2 linked regions of the Styela clava genome follow. The protein of the gene in region 2 interacts with the protein of the main gene of each other region in a pairwise test. Links are inferred from orthologs where the notes say so. Each region holds a gene or a part of one and is shown on either strand. Other genes may lie near its edges.

Region 1 (9,659 bases), on a different chromosome or scaffold from region 2:
GCATGGGGTCCAATATAAATAGCATTTTGCCCACACCAAAATTTTTTTTTGCCAAACCAGTAATTAAAGACGAGGGGTCACATTTTTCTGTATGCATTAATATCTTGTACTCAAACACATCTAACATCAAATGAATAAAACTCGTAAATTAAGCAACAATTCTGCATTTTCGAAGCAAGATCTTCAACAATTCAAAATTGGCTCTTTGGAAATTACGGTATATCAAAAGATGATTAGAAATATTACATATTACACTGAAACCAAAGAAATGAGGCATGGAAAATGTGATCGCTATGCCTATAAGCACCAGTCTCTGAAGAAAATACATAAGAAACATTGATGATTTATTAGCTGTTATTATAATATATTAGCGATTAGCAAAACAGAACCTATGCATTGACATTCATTTGTAATGAGGAATTGACTGTTTGTGAATCACAAGTTATTATATTACCCAATTACATATTCACATTTTGATGACTCCAATTGTAAAGCAGTCACTGAATAATAGACATGAGGATTTGAACGAATTATAACATGGAACAATGGGGTGAATACTGCTGGATATTATTTACAATTACGGCAGTCAAACTGATCGAATACACTAAAAGCATATAACTATATGTTAAGCTGACTTAAATTAGAGCAATAAATTCAGTGATATTGATTAACCAATGTGTTTCCAAATCTAGTAAGAGAATGAATGTTATATGCCATCTTAATATTCTATTTTCTAGAAAATGGATATTGGACGAACTGTGCTATATTACTCAGCACACGCCAGACAAAAAAAAATTACCTATTATGTCAGACTGAAAAAAATGTTAGTTTTTTAATAAAACTGAAGACCAATCAGTTTCCACACAGCTAATCAAAGAGTATGTGAAAATTATTTAGAAGGATTAATTTAAGCAATTATCAAAAAATTAGTTGGTTTTTGTAGCAAACAAACACAAAGAATGTTGAATTCGACTAGGATTTTTTCATTGTCTCATCCTAAACACAAGAGAGAATGAAGCCTTCATAAGATTATACTTTAGAAAATCTCCTATTAAGAAGTACCATGTCCAACCTTGCTCATTCCTTGTCTAATATATACAATGCAAAAAAATTGACAAATAAAATCAAAATTCAACAAGAGAAACAACTAATACCTCTCATATAACAAGGTATACATTTACACATTGAGTTATATAGCCTGCAATGCAACAAAAGTGATTATCAAGATATGATTATTGGCTTTTTCATAAATAACCACTTAAGCTGAATTTCTCCAGCAAGTACCTGTACACGGGATGGAAATAAATTATCCTGTGATAAAAACGAAAGATGCTTTAAAATGTCAGGGTTGGAACCAGGGGTTGAGAAAATCAGATTATAATATGACTTCAATAATCAAATTAAATATTTGTATCACCTACATCTAGTTTTTTAAAGTGTAACTGGCGTTTCATTATAAAATTCAATTTAGACCTGCAGACATTTACGAAGATACAAGAATACTGTTAATTTGGTTATTTATGATACAAGTAATTTCATTAAAATTGTCATGTATGTCATGTCATAGATTGATAATAAAAATATGGTGTATTAGATTTCTTGTTCAGAATTCAATCCGCCTTAGAAATATTTGACCAACCCTAGTTGGAGCCAATATCAACTCCAAAGTAGAAATCAAATCTCAATAAAATTAGTCTGTTTGAGTCATATCACTAAATTGATCAGAAATATTCCAATTCCAACCCTGACATAATACAATTAAGCTACAGTAATTATTTACAAAACAAATGATATAGTAAATTATTTCTGATTGCAGAATAAGATATATATCATGTGGTTGCAGGGATTATGTTAATACAACAAAATATCAATCCAATCAATTTTTAAATACAATATTAACGAGATAGTAGCCTTTCAATTGCTGCATTAACATTTCCGCCTGTTGCTATTAAAGCCTGAATATTGGCTTCTCTATTCATAAATCCCATAGCTGTCAATTGCTCAAGTTCGGTTCGAAATCTTTCTTCAGGGGGTTGAGTGTTCGCAGATGGGTTCGTGGCTGCCAGTGACATCATTATCCGTGACAAAGCCTCGGGATCACTCGCAAGAGGATTAGTTGACTGCTGTGATGGGGTTGTCGATGTCGTGGAAGATGGTGTCGAAGTCGTTTGTGCTCGAGGCATCATTGGCATGGATGTCATTCCTGACAACAGTTGTGGTGCCTCACGTGATAATACATCCATGCCTTGTTGAATTTGAGTCATTGCTTGCAATACTCTAGGATTTTGCATTGCTGCTTGAAACTCCGGATTCTGCATTTGTTGAATCATTGTTGGAATCATTGACTGGAGTTGGGGATTATTGGCAATCATGGGATTGTTTTGCATTGCTGCAGCAGTCATCTGCGGATTTTGTGCCATCATATTCATCGCACTTTGCATGTATGGACTTGACATAAGATTTTGCATTGCGCTAGGGTTTTGCATCATATCCTGCATCATGTTTTGTATTCCACCGACACCAGGGGCAGCAGAAGATGACGTGTTGGTAGAACTACCTGTTGTTGGAGTGGTCGTAGTCGCTGCGGTTGATCTAGTGCCAGAACCTCCCCATGGATTTGGCAGTGGTTCTGTGTTTTCAACACCTCTTTGTGCATTGTTATCACCACTTGAATTATTGCTGTTCTGAATGAGACTAGCAAAAGGATTTCCGCCAAATTGCTCTTGGGCAGCATTCAACATTGGTTCCTGAACATCTGTGTACATTCTACGCAATGCATTGTAACCTCCAGGAATACTTTCTAGGTTGCTCAAGGCTCGATCTTGATTCCTCATCACTTCTTGTAACATTGCTGGGTTTCTTGTATATTCCAATGCTTGGCGCATCAACTCTGGATTGTTCAGTAAATGGCCGACTTCGGGGTTTTGTTCTATCAAAGCCTGCATTTGAGGGTTGGCCCTCATCAATTGTCCCATTACTTCAGGATTTGACAGCATGTTTTCAACCATTGGATTTCCCATTATTTGCTGCATTAGATCAGGATTACGCATCATTTCTTGTTGCATTTGCTGTTGCATGTCCATCAAATTTGTTGAATTAAATCCTGGCATTCGGGGAGGTTGATTCGGACGACTTTCAGTTGCGGTTGCTGTTGATGCAGATGATTGAGAAGATGTCGCGCTCTGACCTGATGTACTAGATTGAGCTTGTGGAAGACTCTTGATTACAAGATGAATTGTCTGTCCATCTTTGAGCTTGTGCGTTTCAACGCTTTCATTGTCCTTTAAAATTTTTCCCGCAAATATTAGAACGACTTTTTCTGGCGATGACGCAAATTTTTCCGCAACCTTTTCACGTAATTCTTTCACAGTTCCTTTTCCGCTAATCTCAACATCTTTTTTTTCTTTTGGCGTCTTAATCGAAATTTTAATTAGTTCTGAGTTTTCCGAATCCGCCATAGCGATGAAATTATTTTATATTTCCCAAAATTGCGCGTTGCTTCCTTGTAACGTGTCCAATTATAAAGACTAAACTAGAAATGAGTAGGATGATACCACAAAAAGTTAACAAGCTTCCAGATTTCAGAAGCGTGCGAAACTTCAGCACTGTAATATCAGTTAGATCCTATACGCAAAATAGTAGGTGTACATCCTAATATCATCATACGATACAATGTATGGATATAGAAATTTTAGTATTGGAATTCCAGTTTATATTGAAGATTGAAATGTTTGTATAATGGCATTGACTTAGACTATTATCATTATTATTGAGCTTTTTCATAAATTACGTTAAAATATTTTTATATCGTAAACTTAAATAATTTACTTCAGTTTTATTGACCATAAAAATGTATTTTTTGTTTTTATTGGTTGTATTTATCTGAAGTTAGACTGTTACATACTGTTCTTCAAAAATAATTGAAATTATTAATGCAGTACTGTTAACAAAAGTCATGACGTTTTTGTTTAGCACTCAAATAACTTATTATGAAACTGCATTATGTTGTTGATACATAAATGAAAAGGAACATGAATTTTGCGTGTGGGATTTATTTAAAAAACTCTGGCAAATTTTCATTGTGCTTTGTAGCTGACATCTAACGGCTTCTCGAACATTCCACTATTGCCAATATTTTACGTGCAGTAAGCGAAATCTATATTTAAGTACACGTGAAGTTATAGATTTATTGGACACGAAATGGATCGTTTAAATATTATGTTGTTGTTAGAATTCTTTGTCATGTTCTTGTTGTTATGAAAAAAATCGGGACAACACTAAAAGGCTAAATAAAAGAAGAAACGGATGAAGTGAATGAATTCCGGAGGTTGAAGTGTTCCCAGATGAGAAATATTTAAAAATGCTAAGAGGCTGAACACTAAAAAGAACAAGAGAGTTATGATCAAATATATTATGGACACGTAGCGCTACCTAATGGCAATAATTTTGACGACGTCATAGCAAAAAAAGAGTAAAGGCTTCTGAAGAAAATTTTTATCTTTCACCACTGAAAATTTCAAAGCAATTGGTCCAGTAATCAAAGAGAAAAGCGACTTTTTAAAAACGTGTCAAAGAACAAGAACAACAACATAATATTGAAACGATCGCTATGTCCACTACGTGTCCAAAAAGTGGAGGAAATTTCTTCCGACAGGTGGTGAGGTGGTTGAAGTCACTAAAAAGCTAAACAGTAATAGGAAGAAGTGAATGATATTTCTTTCGAAGGGTGGTGGGGTGGTTGAAATCAGTATAAAGCTGAACACTAAAAGGAAGAAGTGGATGAAATTTCTTCCGACGGGTGGTAGGGTAGTTGAAAACACTAAAAAACTGAACACTAAAAGGAAGAAGTGGATTGAATTTTTTCCGACGAATAATGAGGTGGTTGAAAACACTAAAAATCTGAACATTAAATAAAAGAAGTTGGTGAAATTTCTTCCGACGAATAGTGAGGTGGTTGAAGTCACTACAAAGTTGAACACTAAAAGGAAAAAAATGGATACAATTTCTTGCGACCGGTGGTGAGGTTGTTGAAAACACTAAAAAGCTGGACACTCAATGGAAGAAGTGGACAAAATTTCTTCCGAAAGATAATGAGGTGGTTGAAAACACTAAAAAGCTGAACACTAAAAGGAAGAAGTGAATGAAATTTCTTCCGACGGGTGGTGAGGTGGTTGAAGTCACTAAAAAGCTGAAGACTATAAGAAAGAAGCGGATGAAATTTCTTCCGACGGGTGGTGAGGTGGCTGAAGTCACTAAAAAGCTAAACAGTAATAGGAAGAATTGGATGAAATTTCTTCCGACGGGTGGTGAGGTGGCTGAAGTCACTAAAAAGCCGTACACTAAAAGGAAGAATTGGATGAAATTTCTTCCGACGAATAATGAGGTTGTTGAAAACACTAAAAAGCTGAACACTAAAAGGAAGAAGTGGATGAAATTTCTTCCGACATTTAATGAGCTGGTTGAAGTTACTTAAAATCTGAACACTAAAAGGAAGAAGTGGATAAAATTTTTTTGACATTTATTGAGTGTCTGAAGTCACTAAAAGCTGAACATTAAAAGAAAGAAGTGGATGAAATTTCTCCCTACATTTAATGAGGTTGTTGAAGTCACTAAATAGCTGAACACTAAAAGGAAGAAGTGGATGAAATTTTTTCCGACGAATAAGGAGGGTGTCGAAGTCACTAAAAAGTTGAACCTTAGGAGGACGAATTGACGAAATATCCCGATAGGAGTAACGTGGATGAGGTCACCGAAGACCGAGTAATGTGATTGAAAGCACTACAGATGGATGTAAAAGCTGTTTCTAAAAATAAGCTGAAGATTTTTTATGAGATTTGGCAGGTAGTGTCACTATGATTTCCCGGGAAGCGACTGTTTTTTTGTTTTGTTTTATACTCGATATAAGTGATGCTGAATTTTACTTTTATGGGGAATGACTGACTTGCAGGTGCCGAAGTGGCAGGGGCCTATGACTCCTGGATATCCAATTCGAATTCATAAGCAAATATCGCGACCTTCGTTTTTTGTGTTTATAAGAATACCGAATATCGCGCACACGTCCTAGCGTTAATGTCCACGTTTTGATAAAAACGATTATTTTATTTTTTATCATATTCGAAGACAGCAGGCCTGGGCGGCGCGGCAATAAATTACAGCCAAAATCAGTGGATTTCAATTAGCACCGACTTGAAGTTTTAATAACTCTTCGAAATTGTTTTTGATTGAAATTATTTTACAATTAGCATCGTATATTCCAATTTCCATTTTTTTCACGTTGCACAAGACGCATAAATCATCATTGTTACAGGATCTGTTGAAGCTAGGGCAGTCCGGGTAACGATACTGGTGATTTACGATGGTCCACAGTTTCAGCTTCGTCCAAGATATGATTTTTGGGGAAATTGTGAGTAAAATATTTTGTTTCGGCTTTCGTGTTCATGTATTTGAGTATTGCTTCCTTATTGGACACTTGGTGGACATAATGATCGTTTCAACATTATGTTATTGTTTTTGTTTTTCTTCTCCGTTGTCATAATAAAATTGCTCTTCGAATACAGGACAAATTGCTTTGAAATTTTCAGTGGTTAAAGATTGCTTTGCCAGAAGACTATCACTTTCACTTATTTTAAAAATTTCTGTGAACCTCAAGAGCTTTCTTTTCTTGTGTGCAATATGTGTTGCAATAAAAAATAGCGACAACTTGTGGCGTTTCCATATATTTGAGCATAGCTCTCTTGTTTTTTATTATTATAATATGTAAGTATATCAAATCGAGGTCGTGAGCACTGAACTAAAATGACAAAATGAGCATGGACAGTGCACTAGCTAGCAGGCGTCTCTAACCAGAGACAATGCATAACAATGCGATGTGACATTCATGCTCTGATGAGGTATAACTACGTTTATCTCTGTGGAAGGTATGCCAGCAAACATCACGGGCGTAATAAAAATAGAAAAAATTAAATATAAGCTTAGTGATTGTCGAGAAACTTGATTAACAACAAATTTAATCAGTACAATTGAAGTTTTGGGAACAAATTTTGGCTCTGAAATTTTGTTCACACCTATGCATAATCGGGAGTTTGATGGTGTCTATATTAGATTGACAGAAGGCATTTTTGAAGAAAATAGAAGTAGCACACATTTTTATTCTATATGATAAAAAAATATAACTGAAGACATCTGAAATGGAAAAGTGCTTGAACAAGAATTATACTAAGACGCACTAACCACGTATTTTACTTCGAAATATCAGTGTAATACATCGACAGACTGGTCTTGTAATTGTGAAAACAAAAAGAATGCTTATGTACGTTTCCATTTAAAATTTATTTAAAAAAAACCCGCATACAAAATTGAATCACGGTCTTGGATTAATTGGCATAAAAAGCGAAATGGCAAAGAAGAAGCATCAGTATAATATACCGTCTAATTACCTTTACAGTATTCGTCTAAGGTGGATCCGAATTACAAAAATTGCACTACATTCGCCATTTTCTACCCTCTCATTTTTTTTCATAATACGTCATCTCAGCCAACGTCGCCATTCAGCTTCTTCTTTGCCTTTTGTTAGGTAAAGTAAATGTTCTGTTTTAATTGCTCGGCGGTGTTTCGCGCTGAGCGTTAGGAATACGCTCGCTACCGCACCTGCGTGGGTTAGCTGGTTCGAATCCCGCGCGGGATGAGAATTACCGTGTTTCCTCGAAAATAAGACCTAGCCCGAGTTTTAAAGATAAGACCTAGTCGATAGTGCGAATTTGTTTTCCTGGCATAGTCGATGGCAAGGAATCTCTCCTATACGTTTCAATAAATAAATAAATGAAAATTTTAATAAAAACGTGTTATTAATAAGTAAATGGATATCGGTTGTTGTCATATTTTGTATATTCGAAAAATCTCGTAATTCTCCACTTTGTAATTTTGTTTTTGATAAATGATAATAAAAGACATTCCCCAAAATAAGCCCAAGTGTTATTTTTCGGAAGAAAGTTAAAATAAGACACTGTCTTATTTTCGGGGGAACACGGTATATGCGAGGCGAGGCGCCGCCGCAGGCTGGTTCAAATAACCGCTGGTCAGTTACGACTTTCTCAACCATCAAGTCCATGTATCTGAAACAAATAACTTGTTATTAACTAATCTCATACCCTACATGGACCGGTAACCGGACAAGTGACCGTGTTCCGCAAGATGTTTGAGCCGTCTAATCGGCTTTCATCTCCCCGGGATAAATATAGAAATGTACTGATATCGGCATTTATTTCGGTATTGGTATATGTTCGGTATCGGCTAATAATATGCTTCCGATTCTGCTGTTCAATGAGATCCAGAATGTTTTTAAAATGAGTTGGCATCCGAATGTTGATATCTGAAACAATTTTTTTTTTGTGGAAGGACCATGTTCGCGGCCAACCTGCTGCACTGGAAACGGGTATTATAACGTCACAATATCTGATACTATGATGTTTTATCATCATTTGAACTTGTTTTTAGATTCCAATTATTATATACTAAATATAAATATAATCACTAACAACAGAATTTTATGAAATATATATATTAAGAAATGTGACCTTATGTATACTGAAGTTTTCACACACTGTACACATATGTACACGGAATTTATTAAGAACGCCCTCAATTCTTACTCGTTTTGAGCTATTCCTCATCCAAACTACCTTCCCAATTAATTTATCTATTTTCGCTACTAAAATTGTGTTATTTAAATATTTGACAATAAAGAAGAAAAATATCAATCAAATATCACAGTGAATTTCCTCGTTGTGTGAAAATAAAATTTGACATAAAATTGTCACAAAATTCTGCGTACGCCACTATGGGTATTGGTTTAATAAAAGTGGTAAACATTTATCGAATATACCATTACGGTAGACAACTTGGTATGAGTTTAAAACACCGCTATTCCCAGCGCCCGTGCAAAACGAAACGTCTGCAGACACCTATATTAATATGTAAAAGAAGTGTCGAGTCCATATTTGCATACGTGCAGATTTACAAGGCAATTTACGATGCAATTAATTAAAGTAAGCTATTTTGATATGCCTTCAGTAATGAGTCAAGTGACACTCCATTTATGCGTCTAAATATTTTTTATTTGTGTTTCAAGCTGAAACTCAAGAACATGCGTTAATTATTGTTACATATTATCGGTGATGTCGACACCTTGAAATTTATCTGGTCTTTTTCATAGTTTGCTTATCCCTTAAAACTATTTTGTTCTAGTATATCTGAACTTATACCTTTGTCTGGGGTAGACAAATAATTGTTTGAAAGCTGGTATCGTTTTAGCAACAATAATATACTTTTTTAAAATCAATCGCGAAAATATACGAGATAAATGTTGGGGTACAATTTATCGTGATAGGCACAGCAGATCTTGACGCAAGATACGATGAAGTGTGATGGAGAATTGTCCATCGATCCCATACCGCGACGATAATATACTGAAAAGCCAGTCAGCCAATCGTTTATTTGTCATCACCAACGACTACCGGTAAATAACTGCGCAGAAATTCATGCATCAAATAAATATACTGATACTCTTATTTGTGTGACCGGAGTCGAGAGGGTCCTCGAGATGTCTTCAAGCAGCGACACCTACATCGCTAGTACAGGTTGGTGTAAACTCTAAAGTCTAA
Region 2 (9,625 bases):
CTTATTTCCTATTGTTTTCTACCACTGAAAAATCAGCTTTTACATCGGGCGGGTATTCAAGCACCGGCCCTTATTTATTTTTATGTTCTGTTCACACGGGCGGCTATTCAAACGGGCCCTTAATGAAGATCGGGCGGTAAAACGAGCATATTACGGCTGGGTCCTCACAACAATCCTAAATCCTGATTCGGTCAATATTGCTGTCGTGTACAATAAAAATAGCTCATTGATTGCATATAAGTGGCTCCTTGGCAATGACAATGTCATACACCAAATTTAGACATGGTGCTGAATTAGCCCATTATCACAAAGCGGTTCTGACTCCAGTTATCGTAATATCTTGAGTTTGAATCCAATGCACCCCCTCCAGATAATTTTGGCAGGGAATACTGAATTGGGTAGTGACTAATCCCCACAATAAATGTGGCTCTTTGCATATAAGCCTTGTTTTAATGAAAGTGCCACAACAAATAAATCTCTAACCTTGTAACGGCTTCGCTGTAGACGAATCCCATGTTCGCTCGTTTCACGATTTCGAAGCAAAGATCAGCGCCGTCCATGCTAAAAAAATAATTTCATGAAATTTTTGAATAAAAATTTAGTTAACGCTGTACCATACACGAAAGTCATTGAATATGCAATTTTTTTTTTTAATTTTTCAGCAGTTGCATAGGTCAAATGTCATTGGAAAAGGGCTCTTTAGCGTCATTTCACAGAACAGAACTCTAGCATATCCTCCTAAAAGCTACGAGTCAAATGTTGAGATCCAATGATTAGCAGCAGAATTTTTTTAAAATGATCGAATAAAATGGGCGACCCAGAAGTATGTGTCCCTGTATGGAGGTAAATAATTATTGAGGGGGGGGGTGAAGTTAATTGCAAATAAAATAATACTTCCATCCATGTATTTTCAAAAGTTTTTTTTAATAAACATACTTCCGCATTAACATCTGTTATTTGTAGCCTAGTGTGAGCTGGTTATTTTTAAGGTGGGGGTGAGACTTGACTAATTTTAGAAAAGGGGGCGCGACTTAAAAAGTTTGAGAACCATTGGTTTGGTTATTTATAATAAAATTTGAAATAAATCAAATTTTGTATGTGGTGGCAAGTAACTTTCTAAACAAACAGGGTACAAAATTTGGCGCTCACGAAGTATGTGCACCAAGATGGTGCACAACCTGAACCCTAACCTGGTACGCATACTATGTTCAGGTGGTGCGACATCTTGGTGCACATACTTCGGGAAGTCCCAAAATTCTCTGACGAACGCATGGGGCCTGCGAGTTGTAGTTTGCCCATCCCTGCTTTAATAAAACTTTTATTTTGTTTCAAGTAAAGTAATACTCACTATTCGAAGACCATGTACAGCAATCCTTCCTCGCTGTAAACTTCATAGAGTTCAACAACGTTAGGATGTTTCAGCATGTGACATATTGTCGCTTCTCTCTTCAAATCTGTGGAACATGCAGGAATAAGAATTAAATTGTAATTGTAACCTAGGATCTCTAGGTCACTTATCTCATTATCCAGAAAATGCCAAGAACGACGCAAAGATGTCGCTGAAAAGGTTGTTTTTACAGCTATTTGAGAGATGTCGTTACTCACGTAAAGCGTATCGCATTCTCGACGCGTGACGTGAATAAGAGAGAAACTCAAAATTTTGGAATTGTAACGTAAAATTATCTGCTATATGTATTGAATTTCATCTGTGAACTAATCCGTTAGTTGTTGTCGACTAGTTACTACTTTAGTTATATATTAGACTCCTAAAATCTAGACTCCAAGATAAAGCAATATATTGATCAGAAGTTATGCGTGTTCAATTTGCTATCGGCAGGAATAATTAGAAATCGAGTTGATTATAACAGAATTTCAAATTTTAAATTTTTTAAAAATAATTTGGGATAGTCAATTTTCGAAAATGGTCATTTTGACACAGTGCATTGGTATTGAAAGTGGACCCAAGTTTGCATGAAAAACTCTTTGTGATTCCGAACAATGATTTGTAAAATGCATTATTGACAGATGGTCAAAGAATTTTACTGAACACTGTTGCAATTTGACATAAAAAAAAACTCTGAAATGTTTCATTCGCTCCATCAAAAGAGGTTGAATACCCCTGAAGAAAACTTTCAGAAATTGCAATGCCCACAGGGAATGCATTATGTGAAATATAATATCACCACTGTAATTGTCATGGGACAGCTGTCCCGGATTGGCCATAATTCCCTTCCAATGAAAGGTAGTATAGGTATGTATTCTAAAATGCAAGATTTTTTTTGTGCTCACAATTTTTGCCATTTGACTAATCTCAATCTAAAGCATGATTGTGATAGAGATGTCAGGGGTTCGCTCCTTTTGGGAAACGCTGCCTATTTATTCGTTATCTCATCTGACCTATTTCTACTTTTCTAGCGACCACCTTGTATATCATCTCTCAATAAAATCATTTATTGCTTTCGAATCAGTCAACCAGGTTCAATCGAATGTGTGGAAATTAGCATCTGAGTGTTGGTGAGAGATAGATGAGCGATCAAGTATTCTAATCAGCTACGTCTCACCCCCAACGGGGTTTGAATCGAAGTAACCCTATCATGACCAAAAGTTAATAATAAGCAGAACCCTGGAAAAAAAAAAACTACCCAGAAAATCCACTTCTTTCCTTGCATTGCATCAACTATCTTAGAGTCAGAAATATAGAATACAAAAAACGGACGCTTCAGAAGTATGTGCACCAAGATGGCGGTCACCGTGACTCCCGTAGTATTTGCACCTGAAATTATGGACTAACCCTAACCTGGTACACATACTAGATTCCGGTGTCCGCCATCTTGGTTCACATACTTCTGGAGTACCAAAAGGTGTTATGAGTGTTGGGCCATGATCATGAAAGTTTGAGGGCCGTTTGGATTGTAAAAAAAATAACTCACCGTGGGCAGTAAGTCCAGGACTTCCAGTGAACTTTGCCACGTCAACGATTTTAACAGCGTACTGGAGTTTTGATCTTCGATGAGTGCAACGTCTGACAAAACTGAATGGACCTCTGTAACAGGAAAATGTATTTTGTTGAAAATGTTTTTATTGTCAATCTGGTAACTGGTATTTTCCTGGAATGCTCAGCATGATATCATTGGTTTTCTGGAGACTGAGGCTCGTGTATGAATCCCAAATTCGAAAATATTTCAGGGGATAAACAAATTATAGATGTTATTATAAATGAGAACAAATGAATTGAAAGTTAAGTAAAAATGAAATGAACAATATTTGAACAATTTATAACTGTAAAAAAATAATTATATGGTCACTGATCAGCATCCGAAGCCACTGAAATTTTGGGTAGATCATGCTTAATATATATCATGATATTGCTCCACTCCAACAAGATTCAGGCATTTTCAAATACAATAAAAGCTTCTCACATAACATCAGATTTCAGTGGCCGTTTGTAGAAGGCCATGTTCGAAGCTAAAAGCACCGCTATGAGTCAAGTGCAATTTCAAGTATTTTGTGGCGTCTGAAGCTCAGGTGAGATTTCCGGACCATGGACACTATGGCCAAACCCATGGCGACTGTCTTTTTGACTGCCACGAACCAATGGTTGGCTGCCGATACAACAGCAGCAAATTGAAAACTAAAGGCGGGTGAAATTTTGCTGCCATAACCACAGCATGTCAGCTGTAATGGCAGGGCTGTCCCGGATGGTGATAAATATTGGGTAAGCTGGAACAGTTCCTTATAGATACAGTTTTAATGGATTTGGGGTTAGGTTTTAGGTTAAGTAGATATAATTCTGCATGATAAAATAAAATCTGGCTTTGTGAATATACCGGTAATAGCGCCATCAACAGGGCAGGAGCTGCCATCGGTTCATTCGGTTGCCATGAAGTGGTAAGAACTGCGCCTCCTACGAGTCATAAAAATAAAAAATTACTCACTTTCCGATGGTCTCGTGCTGTTCATAGTGGGTCTCGAATCTCTCCTCTACCATATTGTTCATTATGAAAGATCACTCAGCAATTGATTTATTACTTGTTATTCATAGTCAGATCTAAGTACTTAAAATGTGATAAATATATTTCTGTTGCAGAATATATGAACGGAATAAAGTTAACTTGTGAGGAAAGATATTGCCAGATTTCACAAACCCATGTTTACATGTTACAATAGAACAGTCAGACAGTGGTGAGCAAATACTCTTCTGAGTGATCCTTTTACATCCGACCCACGACTCGATATGAAAAACTATGAATATAAACAGTATGGTTATTGGTTACACACAACTAGTGAGTCACAGCTAGATAAGTTTTAAAGTCATCTTTCACTACCTCAACCCACTGGAATATAGCAAATATATAATTTATTAATATATAAATATATATATTTATTCATTTTTTTTTTCCATTTTAAATTCATAATCCAGTTGAGTGAGTTTCATATTTCAGTATTTTTCAAGCTTGGTCCAGAAGTAATAATTATCTACAACAATTAGGTTATTTCAATAATTACATCGACATAAAACAATGAACAAACAAATTAGCAAATGCAATAACACTTAGATCTATCACAAACTTCCTATTTAAAATAAGGCTTCTCGTGAATTTTGCAAAACTAGGCTATCATGAATCGTTTGTTCACTCTGGAATTTTCTATATTTTTTCCACTTATTGACCCATTACAGTATTGGGATTATTTACATCTGCTCTAAATGTAGAGCAATATACAGATATAAGTCTGTAAGGTGTTTTATTTTCAAATATTGAAATATGATCTAACGATAGAATTTTTGGGTCTGGTATAGTTTAGTACCACATGCACTTCTAGTTGGCCTGGCTAAACAATTTTTGCATATTTCAATCCCAACCCCCACCTGACTACGTTACCGAAAAATTACGTCATTTTGACATCACAGTGGCGTAAAAAGCCCCCCCCCCCAAAGTATGCTGAGGTCGTCCAAAACGCACAGGCGATCACTCGAAATCGAGCAAGCTATTTCTCTCATTTTTTTGTCGCAACGATCACGATATGAAAGAGATTCCCAACGTTAGCGAGTTCCTTATCCAGTTATCACTGTATCAGTGATGGGCGATCGTGAACTGGGCGATCGTAAATATATTTTGACAGGCTCTATGACATGGTGATGTTGTAGCGAAGTACTTTTTAAATGGCATAGTCAGGTAGTCAGGGGTTAGGAATAACATATGCAAAATTCTTTATGCCTGCTCCACTAGAAGTACTTGTGGTAGTCCACTAAACTATACTATAAGTATAAGTTTATTTCGACTCCATAATCCAGTAATCAGCATAACACTTAAATGATTTGTATAAAAAATAAATCAATCAATCATTCATTTTGGTTCTCTGACATAAACAATACAAAAAGTAAACGGACAAAACAAAATGCAGTGATACCTGGGAGACAGGCATAACTTAAAAAAGGTTAAAAAGCGTACAATGTACTTGCCGGCCCACCAGAAGATAAATGAAACAAACACAGATTTAAAAACGCGATCGGGCATCACTTTGGAAGCAATTTGACAAAAACAACCAATTGCAGAATTGAAGTAGAAACTGATAAAATAAAAACTGATTATGAAAACAGGAGAGCAAACAAAACCTTGGACAAGGTTTAAAACGTACACAATACAAGATGGAAGGTCGTGCCAAGAAGAAGTGGTACGTGTTCACTCACCCAAAATAATGGAAATATTTCACACACTCTCACACAACCATACAGAAGTTACAAAGTAAAAAGAACCCGAATTTTTCATGATCCAAATTTTATAGCCTACCGTATCTCACAATTTATATGACGAAAAAAATAAATACTACTAGTCTACTTTATTAGTGCTACTAAACCTATTCCGGTACATCGAGTTTTCTAAAACAAGAAAACCATTCCCATGTTCGACAAACTGACAATAACGTCAGAACGAGATTTGTGAATCCTATCCTAATCCTATCCTAACGTACCGGTACCGGTACGGTAATATCGAAACAATTTTAGTGTATGGCCCCGTTATTATTTTGTCCGCGTGACACGCAAAAGAATCATTAATTTGCAAATATGAAAATCTGTTAATTCAGCAACAACTAGCCTACAAGCAAATAAACTAAAACCACAATCAGCAAAATTTCTCATTCATTTCGCAAGAGAACCGACCTGACGGTCATTGTGGAGCAATAAAATCTATGGACAATTCGTCTGTCTTTGAGCGGTACGAATCATCCAACTCGAAAGTTATTTGGTACGAGCTGTCTGTGATTTTGAAGTGTGACTCTTGGGTGCCATCTCCCGGGTTCAATAACTTTATCAATGATCATAGCACATAGTGGGAATATTGATTGCCAGGTCTTCCAAATGAGACGATCTTTTCGCATAAACACTTTTTAATTTCACACATTTAGCTCTAAACAAAGCTCAGTGGGAGCACTACGTTATATTTTTTAATCTACAACTTCTGATTGTTTCATATACTGATACAAAAAAAACAAAAAAAAATGAATCAAACAATTAATGATCGAAGAAAATAGAAATACCGTAATTCGAATCACTATCCACACTTTTAAAATCAAATACCTGACTGAATAATCCTTTACCCGGCATGGACTGGAGGACCCATCGTGTTTGCCATTTGATCCCCCCCTTTTGAATTTTCTGAAACGTGAAAAAGTTGCCGATAACACGTGCAATTGCCTTCTGCTAAAATCGACGTTCGTTTTCATCAACGCGGCATGTTATTTATGCCGTGAACGCCCTTTACATTGGTGTTTATTCTCTTTAAATCACAAATTTGTGCCGCGGGAACAATGATAATTATTGGACACGTAGTGGACATAACGATCGTTTCAATATTATGTTGTTCTTGTTTTTGTTCTTGTTATTTGACACAGAATAACACACCTAGTGGAAATATTAAATAAACGCTTTCTCTTCGAATACTGGACCAATTGCTTTGAAATGTTCAGTGGTTGAAGATAAAATTTTTCCCCAGAAGGCTATTACTTTTATTCATTTTAAATATTTCTGTTAGCTCTGTGAGATTTGTTTTTGTTTGCTATGACGTCATTAAACGTTCTGCGGGCATCGGACGCCATTTCGTGTCTTACTGTACTGCTTCGCTTGGTGTGAATATATTTGTAGACTGTGATCTGACGGTACGGTAAACCGTACTGTACTGCGGACAGACGTGTCCATATATTTGGGCGTAGCTCTCTTGTTTTATTTTTGTACCCGCACGGAAATGTGAAAACTGAAAAAGCGTGCAATTGCCTTCTGCTAAAATCGCTTATGTTTTCATCAGCGTGTTATTTAGGCCGTAAACGCCCTTACATCGGTTTTTATTCTTTCTAAATCATAAATTTGTGCCACGATAGACATGATAATTATTTTATTTTTGTACTTTTCACGGAATTGTGAATTCGTGAGTTATTACACATTCATCGGTGGCGAGGTTCTAAAGACAAAAGAAGGAGTAAAACCGCGATCTAAATTTGATTGAAAAGCGGCATTATGAAATACTGAAAATAAAACCGTAAATAGTTTAAGTTTTGTTGAGTCCCGCGACAGTCTAAAAACGATTTTCTAGTCGCAAAATCGCAAAATTTCGTGTGCCTACGGCGCACATTATGTTTGGTCGCCGTTTAGGAACATACCGTCACTAAATTCGAAACACGGTTAATTGTGGGTGGGATTTGCCCTTTATCCAGCACTCCAAAATTGTCGTAGAAAATTTTCGTGTTATCATTAAACAAGGTTGAAAACGCGATTTTTTCCCGGTTTGTGATGATATACAAGATAATTAATCCGAAGTATATCCATCAATTTTTATTGTACTGAAATAAATTTTACTCCATGAGAATTTACAGCAGATTTACGGATTTTTCAGGAGGTTTTATCTTTAAAAATAATCGGAGTGTCAGCATTGCGATTGAACGGAGTCAATGTTACAAGCACATCTCAAATTTGTCGAATTTGCAAAATAGAAAAAATACGGATCAAAACAATATATGACACGGGCAGTTACCACAAATTTTTATTTTTATGTCGGCATATGGCCGAGGTTTTTTTAAAATTGTGACATGTAAAAAATTGATATGTTTTGTCGACGCAAACGCTGGTTAAATTGAAGAAAATTAAATTAATAAAGCAAGACATTTTAAATATGCCCTTATCGGTCACGAATTGATTACTTTGCACAACAGAAAAATCATTTCTCGTTGTAAACGTCGGCTCTTTTAACAAGTGGCGTAATCGCGGCGATGAATATGTATTTTTGATTTAACGATATACTTCATATGCATTTTCATTGTACGAAATAAAATTGTACTTTTCGGGATTTTATATCAGTTATTGAGATTTTTCTAACGGCGATAACGAGTTGGCAAGATTCCAAAAATACGTATTAAAATTAAATACACCGTTTATCTCATATTTTTATGTCCACCGATCGCCGTGGCATTTCAGAGAACTAATGTTTTAACTTTGACGTGAGAAGAAGCAACCGCGAGTTACGTTGGACACAATTAAACTAATATATAAAGACATTTTAGAATTTTGTAGTTGTCAGAGATTGAATATTTCACGCGACAAGAATAATCATTATACGCTGAAAAGACGTCCCTTTAACGAGAGCGTAATGCAAAGACTGTTACAGGCTGCAATGGGAATTTATGATTATGTACCCCCCCCCCCCTTTGAAAATCCTGGCTGCGCGCCTGAGCGTGATAACTAACTTCAATCATTAGCCCCTTGTAATTTTGCTTTTTACAATTATTTAATTGTATATTACTCTATTATATCTAATCCAATATACTCAATCCAATACCTGTGAATCTTATGTATAACAGTGAATATGGGGGGAGCTGACTTGGATGACCGTATGGTCGTATCGCTCCCTCCAGTCTTTACCATGAACAGTGTTTATTTATTTGTATTTATGCTTTCATATTTATATTTGTTTTGGTTGACGAATCAATAAATCTTTCTCTCTCTGATCGAGCAGTCTCGTCCCCTTCTTTTTTCCCGGAATAAATAAAATAAATTTCTCTCTCTCTCTCTAATCCTATCCTGACCTTTGGTCGTATCACCATCTCCCAGTCCATACCGAAATAAATGCTGTGTAGTTTATTAATTTGAAATTTATTTGTATTTTGGTTGACAAAAATAACAAGGGAGCTATGCTCAAATATAGGGACACGTTACAAGGTGCCGCTATTTTTTATTCCGACACATAAAAAACGAATCTCCTAAAGTTCACAGAAATTTTTGAAAGAAGTAAAAGTAATGGCCTTCTGGCGAAAAAATCAATCTTCAACCACTGGAAATCTTGAAGCAATTGGGTCAGTATTGGAAGAGAAAAGCGATTTTTTAATGATGAAAAAAGGAAAAAAAGGAACAAGAACAACATTAAAACGGTCGTTATGTCCACTGACGTGTCCAATAAACTCTTTCTCTCTTTATATATTTTTTAGTATCGAATTATGAAGTAATAAGTTGAACGAATCTGGCAACTATACTCTGTTTACTTTCTGCAATAGTAATTGCGCAACACCGCAAGAGTCATTGATCAAATTTGCACCAACTGCTCTACGCGTCACCCCTTCCGTTTATGCTTATAGATCAGAT

The links.
Region 1: the proteins of peripheral plasma membrane protein CASK-like (region 2) and ubiquilin-1-like interact in a two-hybrid assay, tested with the Caenorhabditis elegans proteins (2 studies listed by BioGRID). The link is inferred for Styela clava from reciprocal best matches to the Caenorhabditis elegans genes lin-2 and ubql-1.

Annotation. Positions count from the first base shown.
Region 1 is NC_135258.1:15,530,783-15,540,441, reverse strand, and holds the start of ubiquilin-1-like, read right to left. Parts: upstream 3,605-9,659; 5' UTR 3,459-3,604; coding exon 1,896-3,458; 3' UTR 1-1,895. UniProt on the Caenorhabditis elegans protein: May play a role in the ER-associated protein degradation pathway (ERAD) possibly via its interaction with ER-localized proteins ubxn-4 and cdc-48.1 and/or cdc48.2, providing a link between the polyubiquitinated ERAD substrates and the proteasome.
Region 2 is NC_135256.1:839,601-849,225, reverse strand, and holds the start of peripheral plasma membrane protein CASK-like, read right to left. Parts: upstream 4,075-9,625; 5' UTR 3,998-4,074; coding exon 3,936-3,997; intron 3,044-3,935; coding exon 2,931-3,043; intron 1,455-2,930; coding exon 1,349-1,454; intron 562-1,348; coding exon 484-561; intron 1-483. UniProt on the Caenorhabditis elegans protein: May play a structural role in the induction of the vulva. May be required for the localization of signal transduction molecules (such as let-23 receptor) to either the basal membrane domain or the cell junctions.